Astyanax mexicanus: one gene and its partner. The protein of the gene in region 1 interacts with the protein of each later gene in a pairwise test. Links are inferred from orthologs where the notes say so. Each region holds a gene or a part of one and is shown on either strand. Other genes may lie near its edges.

Region 1 (6,833 bases):
GTAGTGCTTAAATAGAAATCCTCAAGATTTAGTGGTGTAATGTCAGGCAGACAACTGACAAAAATTCAGGCCTGTTAAGAGGTTAAAATCTTCAGGGGCTCTGTAAGAAAGAATACACCATTTAATCCTAAAGTTTTGGAACAGATCTACCTTTTGTTTGGGAGCTGAAGGTGAAATTGGTTAGCCATTCAGCCATTAGCCTTTACCTGAGGCGCTAACGCGCCAGCCGATGACGCAGCCCTTTTTAAACGAAACTCCAAATTGAAAAAGCAACCGGTTTACCTGTAGGAGTTCCCTCAGGCTAAAACGGTGGTTTGTCCGATATCTTTGTGCTTTATTAGCTGTTTAAAAGCCATGTATTTTTACTGTACACGGTTTTTGTGAATCCACACAGTCTGTGGTGACTGCCGGGCAGAGACGTGTATTTTAAAACTACTCAACCCCCTTCCGTGTTTGACGGACACACCCTTGTAACAGTAAACCCGGTCATTACACCGTTTCAGAAAAAAAGAAATGGAGGAAACTACAGACTACGTCTTTCAAAAAGAGCACTCCATCTTATTCACAACATTTCTTCAGAACTAGCGTTTTTAAACTTAATTCAGAACAACTGAGGCGTGTGAAGGTGTTGTACAGTAGTGTTGGTTAGCTAGAAAAACATGGCGTGTACTAACATGCCCTTCCCTCTCTCAGCCACAGGTCAAGGTAGACACACCCGCAGGCCACTCAGAGGGGGGGAATCAAACATTTTTCCTTTTAAGTCGTGAAAACTGCATACACACACTCTCTCACACACAACCCATCTCCAGTGACTCATGCTAAATATATCAGCCAAGTCAGACGAACCGTAAAATCAGTGAGCTTGTAGCTAGTCACTGACCACTCACTCCACACGCTGACTGGCTGTTTTACACTGTATTGTGTGTAAATGCAAGAAAAGACGGTCTACAAAGAAAAAAAAACACACACACACACACACACACACTGAACCACGCCTGTCCCTTCCCCCACAAACACACACACACACCCATTCACCAGCACCTACTCAACAGGTTCTCACAAACTTCACACTCTCCCAACACTGTCCGTGCAAATTACACACAAAGTAATCTACATCACAATCACAGTTTTCACCTCATCACCAAAAAACAATGCAACTTTACTGATAATAAACAATAAACCAAGGCGTGTTTACTCCTCACTGAATCCCAAAAGAATCTAAAAGTAAAAAAAAAAAAAAAAAAAAAATCACAGGTAACATCTCCAACCAAGACAAGATCACATCTGCAACCCTTAACCTAGCAAACTACCTTGCTGAATAAGGACCTACAGGTAACTTATTCAGCACCAAAAAGGAGCTATATTTTGAAAGAAACAAACCAAATATTTTTTAACAGGTGCTCCCGAGTTGCAGTGATTTGAGACTTTTACTTGCAGATTCTGCAAGTAAAAAATCTGATATCATTACAGGTTAAAAAATATAGGCATCATATAAAGCTAGAAATTGTAGTAGCACTACTCCGCATTACAGATATCTCGTTTTCACTAGTACTAAAACTAGGTTAGAACTATATTACTGGGCTAGGTTACATCACTTGTATAATTTTATTAGGCTAAAACTACTTGTCATGGGTAACTACTACACTGCTGAGGATTCCCCTCATACAGTTACACGCCGGGTGATCAAGTGTTCATTTACAAGCCATACATAAAATGTCCCAGTATCAAAGCTGTGTGTTTAACATAGCTATTAGTAAGCTTTTGCTGGAAATGCAGAGTATGACTACTAATTTTTAGAGTATAGATACGCTAGAAGGAAATGTAGGCATTCATTATCTTGAAACACAATAATAGGTAAGTTCAATAAAAAGAGCACATTTAATCCTAAATAAACAGATAACTTATAACAGCCAAGCTAAATATTTAATACAAATTTAGGCAAAACACTAAAATAAAAAATAAACAGCTCGGTTTCTGGTTAGCAAGCTAAATAACTCCCTGTTTTCAGTAAATACAAGTTAACTACGTTCACGGCCACAATATTAACTACACGAATTATTGAAGAAAAACTTAATTAGTAAAATAAACTATCCAAATATGTTGTAAATAAAGGTTAGTTAAATGTAAGTCAATAAGTTAGCCTTAAGCTAGCTAGCTATTAACCGAGCTATAATAAGTTATCCCATAGGTTAGCTAGTTAACACTAACCAACAGTATGAGTCGAATGTATTTGTCTCGACAGGTCTAATAGCTACGCAAGTTTATAGCTAACGTGTAAAATCCACAATAATTCACTTTAAAATAAGTAACTACATTATCAACAAATCATATCGCTAGCTGTTAGCTTTAACTTTCAGCTTCATCTTCACACCTAGCTAGCGGCAAATGTGAGTCGTGGCTGTCCGTGAGACGCTATTGCTAGCGGTAGCTCGGCTAGATAACAAACCTGCTAGCGCTATGCTAACACCACTAGCATGCTAACCTGAGTGCTAAAGCGTTAGCACGCTAGCTAACTAGCTTAGCATAGCCAACTTCCAAGTTTTCCTAACTAACAAAAGCGAGCAGGGCTTTTGTGTAAACACGCGCGATTTGAGAAAAACACAACCGTTTCTATTAACATAACGACTGGAGAAAAATAAGCAGTTTCGAAAGTCTACCTTTGTGTTTTTTGTGCAAGTCCGATGGTGTGGTTGCGGTCTCGGCCTATCGAAACAGGCTCCAGATACTGTGATTTTTTTCCAAGCGCTGGGAAGTCACCGTAATCCCAAACTGGTCTAAATTTGGGCGTTTCAGCCCGTGCGCACTGCCACCAACGCGGATCTTCTCTGTTCGCCTTTCACTTTACGTTAACTCTATCGAACCCATTCAAACAGATGTAAAGAAGGTGGGAAATCCGTAGGCCGGAGTGGATTTATAAAAATCTGGCAGTCCTTTCATAAAAAAGCCCACCTAGCTATCTACCCGTCCTCCTCCTCCTCCTCGCCTTGTTCACTCCTCTTTCCTCGTTCCCCAGTTTCGCCCCTGACCCTCCTGCCCCTCCCCTGCGCAGCCGGAGCCGCGCGCATTACAGAGCAGGGCGGGGCGGGGCTGGGCGGGGAGTTCAGCGCCCGCTGGAGAACCGCACTCACTGTTCCTGCTCCTTCCGGGATTTAAAACATGTTATAAACCTTACAAACACCCGCGTTTTATTCGTTTAAACGATATTTTTGTGTTTTTCGCGTCTGATAAACACATAAGGCGGGGCGGGAAACAGTTCGTCACACCCCCAGTGTGGTTTTCATCACGTGGACAGCGGTTTTGGACACAAATCCCATGAAAAGCATAGGCGCTTCAGACCTGAACAAACAGTGCGAGAGCGCCACCTCACGATCAATAACAGGAGGCGCAGACTGTCAGTGTTTATTTCCACGTTAATTTTTAACCTCCCTCTGGCCATTAAAAGTATGCACACTGTGCTTTTAACAACTATATGTATACTGCATTATATTAAAAAATGAACATTAAATGCCAGGTATAACAACCAAACTTACTAAGGCATGGGAACGAGATAACTCATTCCCACAGTTTAGTGATCTAATTTCCACAACAAGTCGTGGCCATGCATTATTTTATTTATTTTTACATGATACCATCTTAGAGGCCTTGATACAGTTAAATTACCTCTGTTCTAATGGTACAAAAACCAGGTTTAAGCACTTCAACTTTATGGTTAAATGGTGGGGCCAATCTACTATTAGTGACATAAGTAGATGTATTTATATTAAATTACCTATATCAGTGAATTCCAACATCTTTTTTTCAGTTAGTTTCTGCATGTGGACTGAATTGTCCACTGTCCACAACAAAAATAGTTTAGGTGTGCTGATCGGGTAAAGACAGGAATCATTTTAATGCATAAACTCATATTTATACATTTAACATTGCTATCTTTCAAATACCTTGCCAGATGTTCTCAATTCTAGAATATATTAAATAAAAGGGAAAAAAACACTTAATATAAAAAATATATAAAAAAATGTATGTATTTATAATTTATGTATTTTTTTATTTAATTGTTTATTTTTGGTTTTATGAAGCTCCTTCTTCCTTTTTTCATTCTTCTTCTTCTTGTGAGTAGTAGTAGTAGTAGTAGTATTTGTCAATCATGCTTACTGTGTATTTATGCATTATTGTTTGCACATTTTTGTAAAAGAAAAAAACATGCTGTTTAAAAGCATGTTGTAAACAAGCCAGCCTCCCTGTGTGTGTGTGTGTCTGTGCATTGCATGAGATTGTATCTGTCTGAGTACTGAAATAACTCTGTGTGATCTCAGAGCAAACTTCATGTGACTGTCAGAAGCTGTGTGTGTGAGTGCGTGTGTGTGACCCCTGCCAGGAAACGTAGTTCCTCTTTTACTCAACTATTACCTAGTTTTTTTTTTCAACATCAAAGCCGCTCTTAGTTATTCAGTTTACTGCATTACCACTGATATGTTGCAATGAGGATCCATTATTAGGAATAAATCTTATTGTGTGAATAATTAATACTTCCCAAAGACCTCCGGACTGCATATATGGGAAGCTACTGAGCTGTAGTGCTGACTACAGCCTACTGAGCACAGCATGAAGAAACTTTAAACTGGTAAAGAACTTTTATATTAAATTGTTTTACATAAAGATTCTTTAGACACTTTAAAGTTTTATTTTTGCATACATACACCTTTATCACAAGCAGGGTTTATTAAGGGACCATAAAAGATTATTCTATGTCATTGCTCAAAAAAACACTCTTTTTGAAGAGTGTAGTTATAGGCAGCAGTTCAAAAAATCCAAAAAATAATTTTTTTTTCTCACGAAAAACAGATGCACAGTGATGCAGAGTAAAACCAGAAGCATATACATTTCAACAGCTAATTGCATAAAAAACAGCATTGGACAGGTTTAACAGATTTGGTCAATATGTTTTTGTACATTAAAAGTGCAGAAAATCACTGCTTTTTGTTTAATATGGTTTTGTGATGCACAACTTTATAATGACTGATTATTTTTTTCTTCCATTTTCTTCTTATTTTTCTGAAAGACATTTCCTAGAGATATTGACGCTGTCCCAACTCCAGATTGTTAAGTCTGAGGGACTGCAAAGACCATCTTGAGTACTTACATTACCTTCTGGTTTGAGAGACCGTAGAGTGGATAGTGAGGACAGCTGAGAAGATCATTGGTGTCTCATCGGCATCTACAGCACAAGCTGCATTCGCAAAGCCACCAGCATTTTGGATGACCACACCCATTCCTCACACAGACTCTTTTCACTGCTGCCATCTGGCAGAAGATACCGGAGCACCTGAGCCATCACTGCCAGACCCTACAACAGCTTCATACCCCTTGTAATGGAAAAATGTGTTGGGTTATTTACTGTATTTTATTCTGTTGTTCAATGTTTTTTTATTTCTTTACTTGTTTATGTGTGCTGTACTTGTTCTTGGGTAAAAAGAAAAAAAAAACAATAAATAGATATTTACAAAGAAAGTCCATTTATCTCAGCAATGAGTGTTTTTACCGGAAAAAAGCACCACATATGATTTAAACAGATGTAAATAAACATACATACAGTAAAATGTAACAAGAAATTCTAATTTTTAGCTAAGTATGGTATGTCCTGTGAGCCAAGCTGAAGAACAAAGTGTAGTTCCAGATTTCTCCTGGATGTTCCTCAGTTAGCAAGTGTATATGTTCAGTTCCGTCAGCAGCTCACCTAATTTACCAAACCTGTGGTTGATATGATGAGAACCAGAAATAACTATTAAACTCAAATGAGGAGAGATTAGGAAATGTTTTAAGGACAACAGGGCTTTAAAAGCTCTGCTTTTTGTAAAATTGCTGTTTGTATTTATTGTAATGCTTTAGTGAGATATTGAACACTTACTTCACAGATAAGCTTTCCTTTACTGATATTCCCAAACTTTTGCACAATACTGTATATATTGTTATAAGTTAAAATGTGGGATATTTAAATCTGATTGACTTATTGCAATGTAACATTTATTTTACTTCTTTATTGATAGCTTTATTTATTTTTATTTTAGTGCTTATAACACTCATGCTTATTTACTATTTGGTGTGCTACCAGCAAATATTTTTGGTTTGTGTTACAGAAGTGAGGGGATGGACGTAAGTGCAGAATTTAATTAATTTTATTAAATTAATAAAAACTAAAACAAATTAACAAACAAACAAAATAAACCAAAGTTACACTGAATACATAACTACAAAACACTAAACTTGAAAACAGGAATCTAAGAAACAGCATGAAACAAACCTGAACACGGACAGCAAACAAACCAACAAAAGACTAGACAAAGAAGGCTTGAAACAAAGGGGCTTATATACATGAGGAGGGAACAAGAAACTGGAAACACCTGAGGATCAATCAAGAGGGGGCGGGGTTACAAATAACTAATGACAGGGTGGGGCTAGGGCGGAGACAGGACCAAAACACAACAGAAGCACATGGCTGGGAAACATGACAGGTAAACAGAGGGGCAGGAGCACAAGAGACCAAATGAGGGAGAAACACAAGGCAGACATGGGCTAAGCTGTGACATAACTCCCCCTCAACGACACCACTACCAGAGGCGCAGAGAGAGGGAACAGAGAACAAGACGACAGAACTAGGACGAAGGAACTCATGACAAAACAGGAGACTGGACTATGAATGGTAACAAAGACTGGACAGGGGGCTGAGACTGGACAGGGGACAAGGACTGGACAGGGGGCTGAGACTGGACAGGGGACAAGGACTGGACAAAAGACTGGACAGGGGGCTGAGACTGGACAGGGGACAAGGACTGGAC
Region 2 (7,018 bases), on another chromosome or scaffold:
AACACTGCTGCTGGACTCTGGAGACATCATGGGCGGGCTGGCGAGAGGTGTTGGCTCTCGCTTGGGTTGAAGGTGATTTTGAACTGTACCAACCTCTGCTACACCCTTAGAGGAAAGCTCCTTGGATTTCTTAGATTGGTCCACGTTCACCCATTCTTCGCTGGAGACTTTTTGTTTTTTCGCCTCAGGTTCTTCTTCAGCATCCGTACTGTGAGGTGGCTTGGTCTTCTGAGCTTTCGGGGCTTCCACCTGCGAGACAAACAGGACATCGTCGCTGTCCGTGTCATCTTTCCCAGCGCTGCTGCCCGTCATTCCAAACTCCTCAGCAGACAACGAGAATGATTCAGTGATGATGGGCATGTTCTCTGTCCCAGACTCATTCTTCTCAGTGGAGCCAATATTGCCACTCTCGCCTTCTTTTGACAAGCCAGGTAAACCCCTGACCTGTGATAGCGGTGTTGCAAGATTGGCAATGAACTTGACGCCCAAGATCTGGCCAGCACTGATCAGATCATCCAGTTTGTCAGATCGAATTCTGACTAGTTTTGAGCTGTATATGTAATTCAGGATTATTTCAAATATGTCTGACTTGATGAAATTCAGCTCAATGACTTGTCCCGCAACGGAAAAAAGCTGTCGAAAGTAAGTGCTGGATGCGGATAACATTGTCTTGTGTGCCCTAAACTTGCGGTCCTGAACGATGATGGTCACATCACAAAATAATCCGTTGTGTCGCTGCTCACTGATGGACTCCAGCAATGACATGGGAAACTGGGTGTCTGTAACAGATATTAGCTTTAATTTCGCCATCCCTGTGAACAGAAAAGAATAGACAGCGGCTTTTATTTAGTATATCTAAGTCCTTAACATGCGTATCTTTAATAAACGGTTTTGAAGTTATATAACTAGCACAAAAGCCAAAAACAGTCTAGCTATTAAGCTTATGACAGCATGCAACAGTAAATAACTATGAAGTAAAGCACAAAAATAACTATATTTGGAATATTTAGTTGTCATGGCTAAGTCGACTGACACTTTTATTTAGATGGCCAATGATATGGCTAGCAGGTTAGCTGAGCTAGCTACTCTAAAAACAAAACAACAAAAAGCGTTTGATTCTTAAAGCAACAGTCTGTGAGTTTTTAATGAAAATGTGTAATTGCATCAAGTAAGCTAAAAGTACTTTTAAAACATGCAGTGTGGTGCAGCAAAAGCTGTTACAGCCAGATCCCAGGACCTACAAGACACCTTGATTTTTTACATTAATACGTGTGGTTTTGCAGGAATGGTAGCAGTCTCTTAAGGACTGCTGCTTTAAAAATACTTTCGTACTAAAGGTAGGCTTTTACTTTGTGTTTCTCTACTTTAACTTAGTTAAGTAACTAGTTACATGGTCATCTAACTTTATTACCTATCTGAAATAAGAAGAGCTGATTTAGTAAGATGTTGGAAGCTAACACTAGGGCTGCAACGATTAGTCGATATAAATCGACCATGTTGGTTATTTAAATTTGTCGACTACAAAGTTTATTGTCGACTAATCGTTACTTTGGAACAGTACCGTATATGCCGAGGACAGAAGCGCAATAAGAGACGGGGCTCATAATCCAAGAAATATTTATTGGATTAGTCGACTACCAAAATAATTATTAGTTGCAGCCCTAACTAACACTATGGCTGTCTTAGCTAGTTAGCTTAGCTAACCTAGCTTACCTAATAAACCGGCGTAATATGCCTAATTGGTATTCATCTTAAACATTAGCTAATGTATCAGTGAAACGGACCGAGGTTAGCTAACTAGCTAGGTTAAATCTTTAGTTTGTAAAAGCGCTTTGACAAGTAACTATCCATCTTTCTACCTACCAGACACCTTGTTTTTTTTTTTTTTTTTTTATAATGTGGTTTTGCAGGAATAGTAGCAATATCTTAAGAACTGTTGCTTTAAAATACTTTTGTACTAAGGGGGGAAATACTACTTTGTGTTTCTCCACTATTACTTAGTTAAGTAACTAGTAAAATTAACAAATGTGGTTTTGCAGGAATGGTAGCAGTATCTTAAGGACTGCTGCTTTAAAAATACGTTTGCACTAAAAGGGGACTTTTACTTTGTGTTTCTCTACTTTTACTTAGTTAAGTAACTAGTTACATGGTTATCTAACTTAGTTACCTATCTAAAAAAAGAAGAACTGATGAGATTCAGTGAGATGTTGCAAGCTAACGCTATGGCTGTGTTTTAGCTAACCTAGCTTAGCTAAGCTAATAAACCTGCGTGATACGCCTTATTGGTATTCATCTCAAGCATGCTAACTAGCTAGCTATAGCATTAGCTAATGTATTAGTAAAAGGTTAAATCTTCAGTTTGTAAACTTTAAATGGGCTTTGATGAGTAATTGACTATCTAGCTGGACTTTAAAACCATACGCTAAGTTAGATAGTTAGAAAAAAAACATTAGAAACGTGTAACGTTAGCCGGCTAGCAGGTTAGGAAAGCTAACGCTAATCTGAAAACAAAACAACAAAAGCGGGATAAATAATGAGTCGCTCCGCATTAAGACCCAGCTCGCTGGCTGATTTTCATTCAGAAAGCAGTAAAACAACAATCTAACCCTTTTCTGCCGGTCAATTTCAGATATGTTGCACATATTTCTATAATCCGAGTAAATAATGGAAATAAAAGCAGACGGATCTGCTAGATGCTAAGATGTGGCCACTTTATCCTTCCTGCTCAGGCGGCAGGTCGAGGCCTGGCCCGCAGCTGGCTGAGAGTGAACTTACTGCTACCCGGACTAGCACGCTTTTAAAGCCAAGAAATATGTTTATATTAAATTTAAACACTTTTATATGAAATCGCGCAGCGTTCACGATAGCATACCTGCACTGCGGAGCTTCTGAGTCCAGTCTTCGGTTTCAGAAGAAAGAAAATAGTGGTTTTGTTGCGGTAGACAACAAAAAAGAGCCTTGTGTGAGCTGGCGCAGGGCTGCGACTTACCATTCAACCAACAGGAGTCGCAAAAGCATCCGATGGGTGGAGGGAATATTAATTCAAGGATTTGTCATATATATATTATACATTATGTATATTAAGGAACACATAAGGAATCATGTAGTGCACATAAAAGTGTTAAACAAACCAAAATACTCTTATCTGGGTAGCTGTTAACTTGCAGTTTCTGATGCTGGTAACTCTGATGAACTTATCCTACGCAATAACTCTTACTCTGTCTTTCCTGGGGCGGTCCTGATGAGAGCCAGTTTCATCATAACGTTTTTGATTGTCTTTGTGACTGCACTTAAAGATGCTTTTAAAGTTTTTGAAAGTATGACAAGATGTGCAAAGCTGTCAACTAAAAGCAAGAGGTGCCTAGTTTGAAAAATCTAAAATTTAAAACATATTCTGGGTTGTTTAACACTTTTTGTTTACTAAATAATTCCATGTTTTTTTTTTTTTTTTTTTGTAGTTTGCTTGTCTTTCGTATTAATCTACAATGCAGAAAAATAATCGAAGGTGGTTTCCTAATGTATCAAACATATTCTGGTTTATTTAACATTTTTGTTTACAAAATAATTATGCACGTTTTCCTGTCTAGCTGTATTATCTTCAATATTAAATTTAAAGAAAAAATATGACAATACTAATATTTAAAAAGTTCATTAAAACCTCTAAAATATTATCAAAAGGAAGACAGATGGTTATTAGAAAAAAATCTAAACATTGATTTTTGGGGGGGCAAGAGTGGCACACGGTCACCCAAAAGCAGTGTGAAAGACTAGTGAAGAGCATGCGAAGTGAACAAGAGCATGTTGTGAATTTGATTTCTGAACTTTTCCTGAGTGAAAACCTTAGTATTGTTATTTCTAAATATTTTAAATTGCATATTTTTTGTTAGTTTGGTCAGTTCTGATTGTGTGCAAATACATGCTATAATGACCATATTTTTATACTTAAACATATACCTGATATGTAAAAATATAAATAAGAGAAATTGAACATTTTGAAGTGCTCTCTTATTGTTTGATAGAGCTGTGTATAATAATATATAATACATTATAATTTTTAATCTTGATAATGTTGTGTAGCTGCTCCAGTGCTGTAGGTGGCGACAGTAAGCACAGTGTGTGAATCTACATCCAGCCTGAACAGAAGGCAGAAGGAGCAGACCACAGCAGGCCTAAACGCGTAGTAAACGAAAGCTGAACTGTTGCTTTATTCTTTTGACGAATTAAATACTTTATTTGAGTTTCAACGTATTGGATATATTATATGACGGTTGAGTATGTTAACTAGATAAGTCGGGGGCAGTGAACTAGCTCGGTTAGCTAGGTTAGCTGGCTAAACATTTGAGTTTAGTTTTGTTGTTGTTTGAGTAATAGTGTCCAACTCAGTTATGTAGCGTTAAGCCTTTAAAGTTAGTGATTATTTAGCTCTGTGGTTTTTAGAGCAGAATAAAATCGCAGCTAAAAGCGGCTTTAAACTGTATTAAAGCTCTAGATAGCTAAAGTAAAGATGCCGGAGCTGGAAGACAGCCCCAAAAGGCGGCGGCGCAGTCGTTCTCTCAGCCCGGCCAGCGACGCGAGTCCAGCGGCCAAGAGCTCCAGACACGACGGGCCCGAGGAGCGGCCAGCCCGGTGGACGGAGAGCAAAGAGAGGAGCAGGAACCGCTTCAGGATGGCGAACTCCCGCAGCAGGTCCAGATCCAGGTCTAGATCCAGGTCCAGGGAGCGGGAGAAGATGTCCTGGGATCGGGGATACGGAGGGTCTCGGTCGGATTACTATGATAAGAGAGATGATGCCCAACGCCAGAGACAGGAGGCTTTTATCGCCAGGTAAACAAACTACTTAAAAATACTTAAAGTTGTGATCCGGTGTAAAATGGACTTGGGTTGTAGTGAAACTAGGGCTGGCCCGAATAGCGTTTTTTGAGCTCCGGATATTCGGCACTGATTCGAAGCGAATATTCAAATATTCGTTTTTAAAAAAAGAGGTAAAAAAAATAAATAAATAAAGCAAATCACGGCCCCTTTAATCCACTGAAAAATGTTCAATTTGCTCTGACCGACGAGACATATTCACCCCGGATTTTTGGTGTTTTTATCCCCCATATTTTTTCTGTGTTTTTAGCTCAGATTTCTTTGTGTTTTCATCCCGGAATTTCTGCTGCCCCACACGCGGCTTATCCGCTGCGTAAGCAGGCTAGGAGGCTGCTGCTGCACGGTTTCTCCGCTGCGCAAGCCAGCCCAGTAAATTGCTGTTTGTGTTTTCACACTTAGGCTATTTGCTTAAAAAAACAAACAAAAAAAACGTTTGTTCAGGAAGTATTTTATATTCTTAAACATTGGTAATTATATTAGAGGACAGTCATTGTAAACTGTACTTGGTCTATTTCGGTTAAAGGATTGTGCAGGGCATATTACTGATTTTGTATTTTTGCACTTGGGCTATAAGCTCAATATTAAATATTTCGTTTGTTTAGAAATTATTTTATATTTTAAACCATGTTAAATTATATTAGATAAGAGGAAATTCGTTCAGACATCATTTTTGTAGGCCAGGCTTTTGTAACCGATTTAGCCCCTACTGTTGCCACATTACCCCTTACGTTTTATTATATAAATCAGTTTCGAAGAGCCTGCATTTTTTTTATCATGTATAATAGAGGTCTGCGCGAGACTGATTTTTAAACCAACTCTTCCACGCTCCCGCGTTTCTGTCTCGTTACCGCTCCGCAAAAAAATTGCTTCTTTTAATCCCGCGCCCGCCCGCCACATAGTGCGGTCCCGTTCCTTACCCCAGTCCAAACACCATCGGTGTGTGCGTGTGTGTGTCGGTCCATCCTGCGCGTTGAGAGTTTTCTTTAGGTTTTTTTTTTTTTTTACAATTATTACAGTTTTCTTAACTATTTATTAATTTGCTCCCGCATCGTCTGGATTAAACTCCCGCTCCAGCCAATAACAGTTCAGTTCTGTCCCGCGCGCAAGATATTCTGACGGGACCCGCGAAAACAGAAGTGGTTAGAGTGAGGTGGAACTCTGGAAAGGAGAAAAAAAACGAATATCCGAATACCAAAATTAAAAACCGAATACCTACTCAACGAACGAATATCCGAATACCCGAATATTCGGGTCCAGCCCTAAGTGAAACATAATAATAAATACGAACTTTTGTCGAATAACCCACCTCTATAATCCCCCAGCATTCCCAAATACAGCGCTTTTAGCCAATACTCCCACAATGCTAGTGAAATGGGCATAGAGTTGCCCATGAAATTAAAGCACTATTTTACACCAAGCTCAAAATAGCTCCACACTTTAATGGCTTTTAAAAGGAAGCACTGAGATCTTTAAAATGCACAAGTAGTTTATTAAAAAATAAATACTCTTTATACGCACAGTACCATTAGGTAATTATCTAGGTGCTGCCATCTTTAAAGGAGAACTCCAGTGTAAAATTGACTTTTGGTGTAGTCAGACATGATACAGAGTACTTATCTTTGTTGAATCGCCCACTTCCCTGCAGCTTTCTGAAAATCCAGTCATTTTGTGCCAGTAATAACTTTAAAAGTGCACATGAAACTTATTATAAAACACTGTTTACAACCTGTAGTGAAACCTAATCTTCGGCCTCCTACACGTTTAAAGTAAAGTCAGGATCAGTACAGTGATGGTGGAGCCATTTATTTGCATTAACACTGCTATGCCCCTATCGCTAGCATTGTAAGCCTGTTGGGAGCATCAGATTAAAGTGCTGTATTTCAAAATGCTGGAGATAAACAGAGGTTGGCTGTTTGACAAAAGTTTGTTCTCGTTATCATGTTTCACTACAACCAAAGTGTATTTCACATGGACTTCTTCTTTAACATACTCATTCTATAACAGTGTGGGGTTTCAACAGTGTTGAGGGGACATGCCAAAGCCCTAAAGCAGTAAAAGTGACTTTCGGGTCACTGCCTTCAGGATTAACCATGTATTTTTCTCTTTTTAAGGCGTTTGCAAGAAAGGGAGAGGATTGGTGAACTGGGAT

The links.
Region 2: the proteins of ctnnd1 (region 1) and zbtb33 interact in binary tests that used the Homo sapiens proteins (3 or more experiments, as listed by UniProt). The link is inferred for Astyanax mexicanus from reciprocal best matches to the Homo sapiens genes CTNND1 and ZBTB33.

What each region holds. Positions count from the first base shown.
Region 1 is NC_064414.1:44,251,431-44,258,263, reverse strand, and holds the start of ctnnd1 (catenin delta-1), read right to left. Parts: upstream 3,019-6,833; 5' UTR 2,658-3,018; intron 308-2,657; exon of another isoform or gene 283-307; intron 1-282. UniProt on the Homo sapiens protein: Key regulator of cell-cell adhesion that associates with and regulates the cell adhesion properties of both C-, E- and N-cadherins, being critical for their surface stability.
Region 2 is NC_064417.1:48,682,877-48,689,894, reverse strand, and holds the start of zbtb33 (transcriptional regulator Kaiso), read right to left. Parts: upstream 3,004-7,018; 5' UTR 2,873-3,003; intron 813-2,872; 5' UTR 811-812; coding exon 1-810. Other genes in the region: NF-kappa-B-activating protein, read left to right, coding at 4,505-4,824, 6,981-7,018. UniProt on the Homo sapiens protein: Transcriptional regulator with bimodal DNA-binding specificity.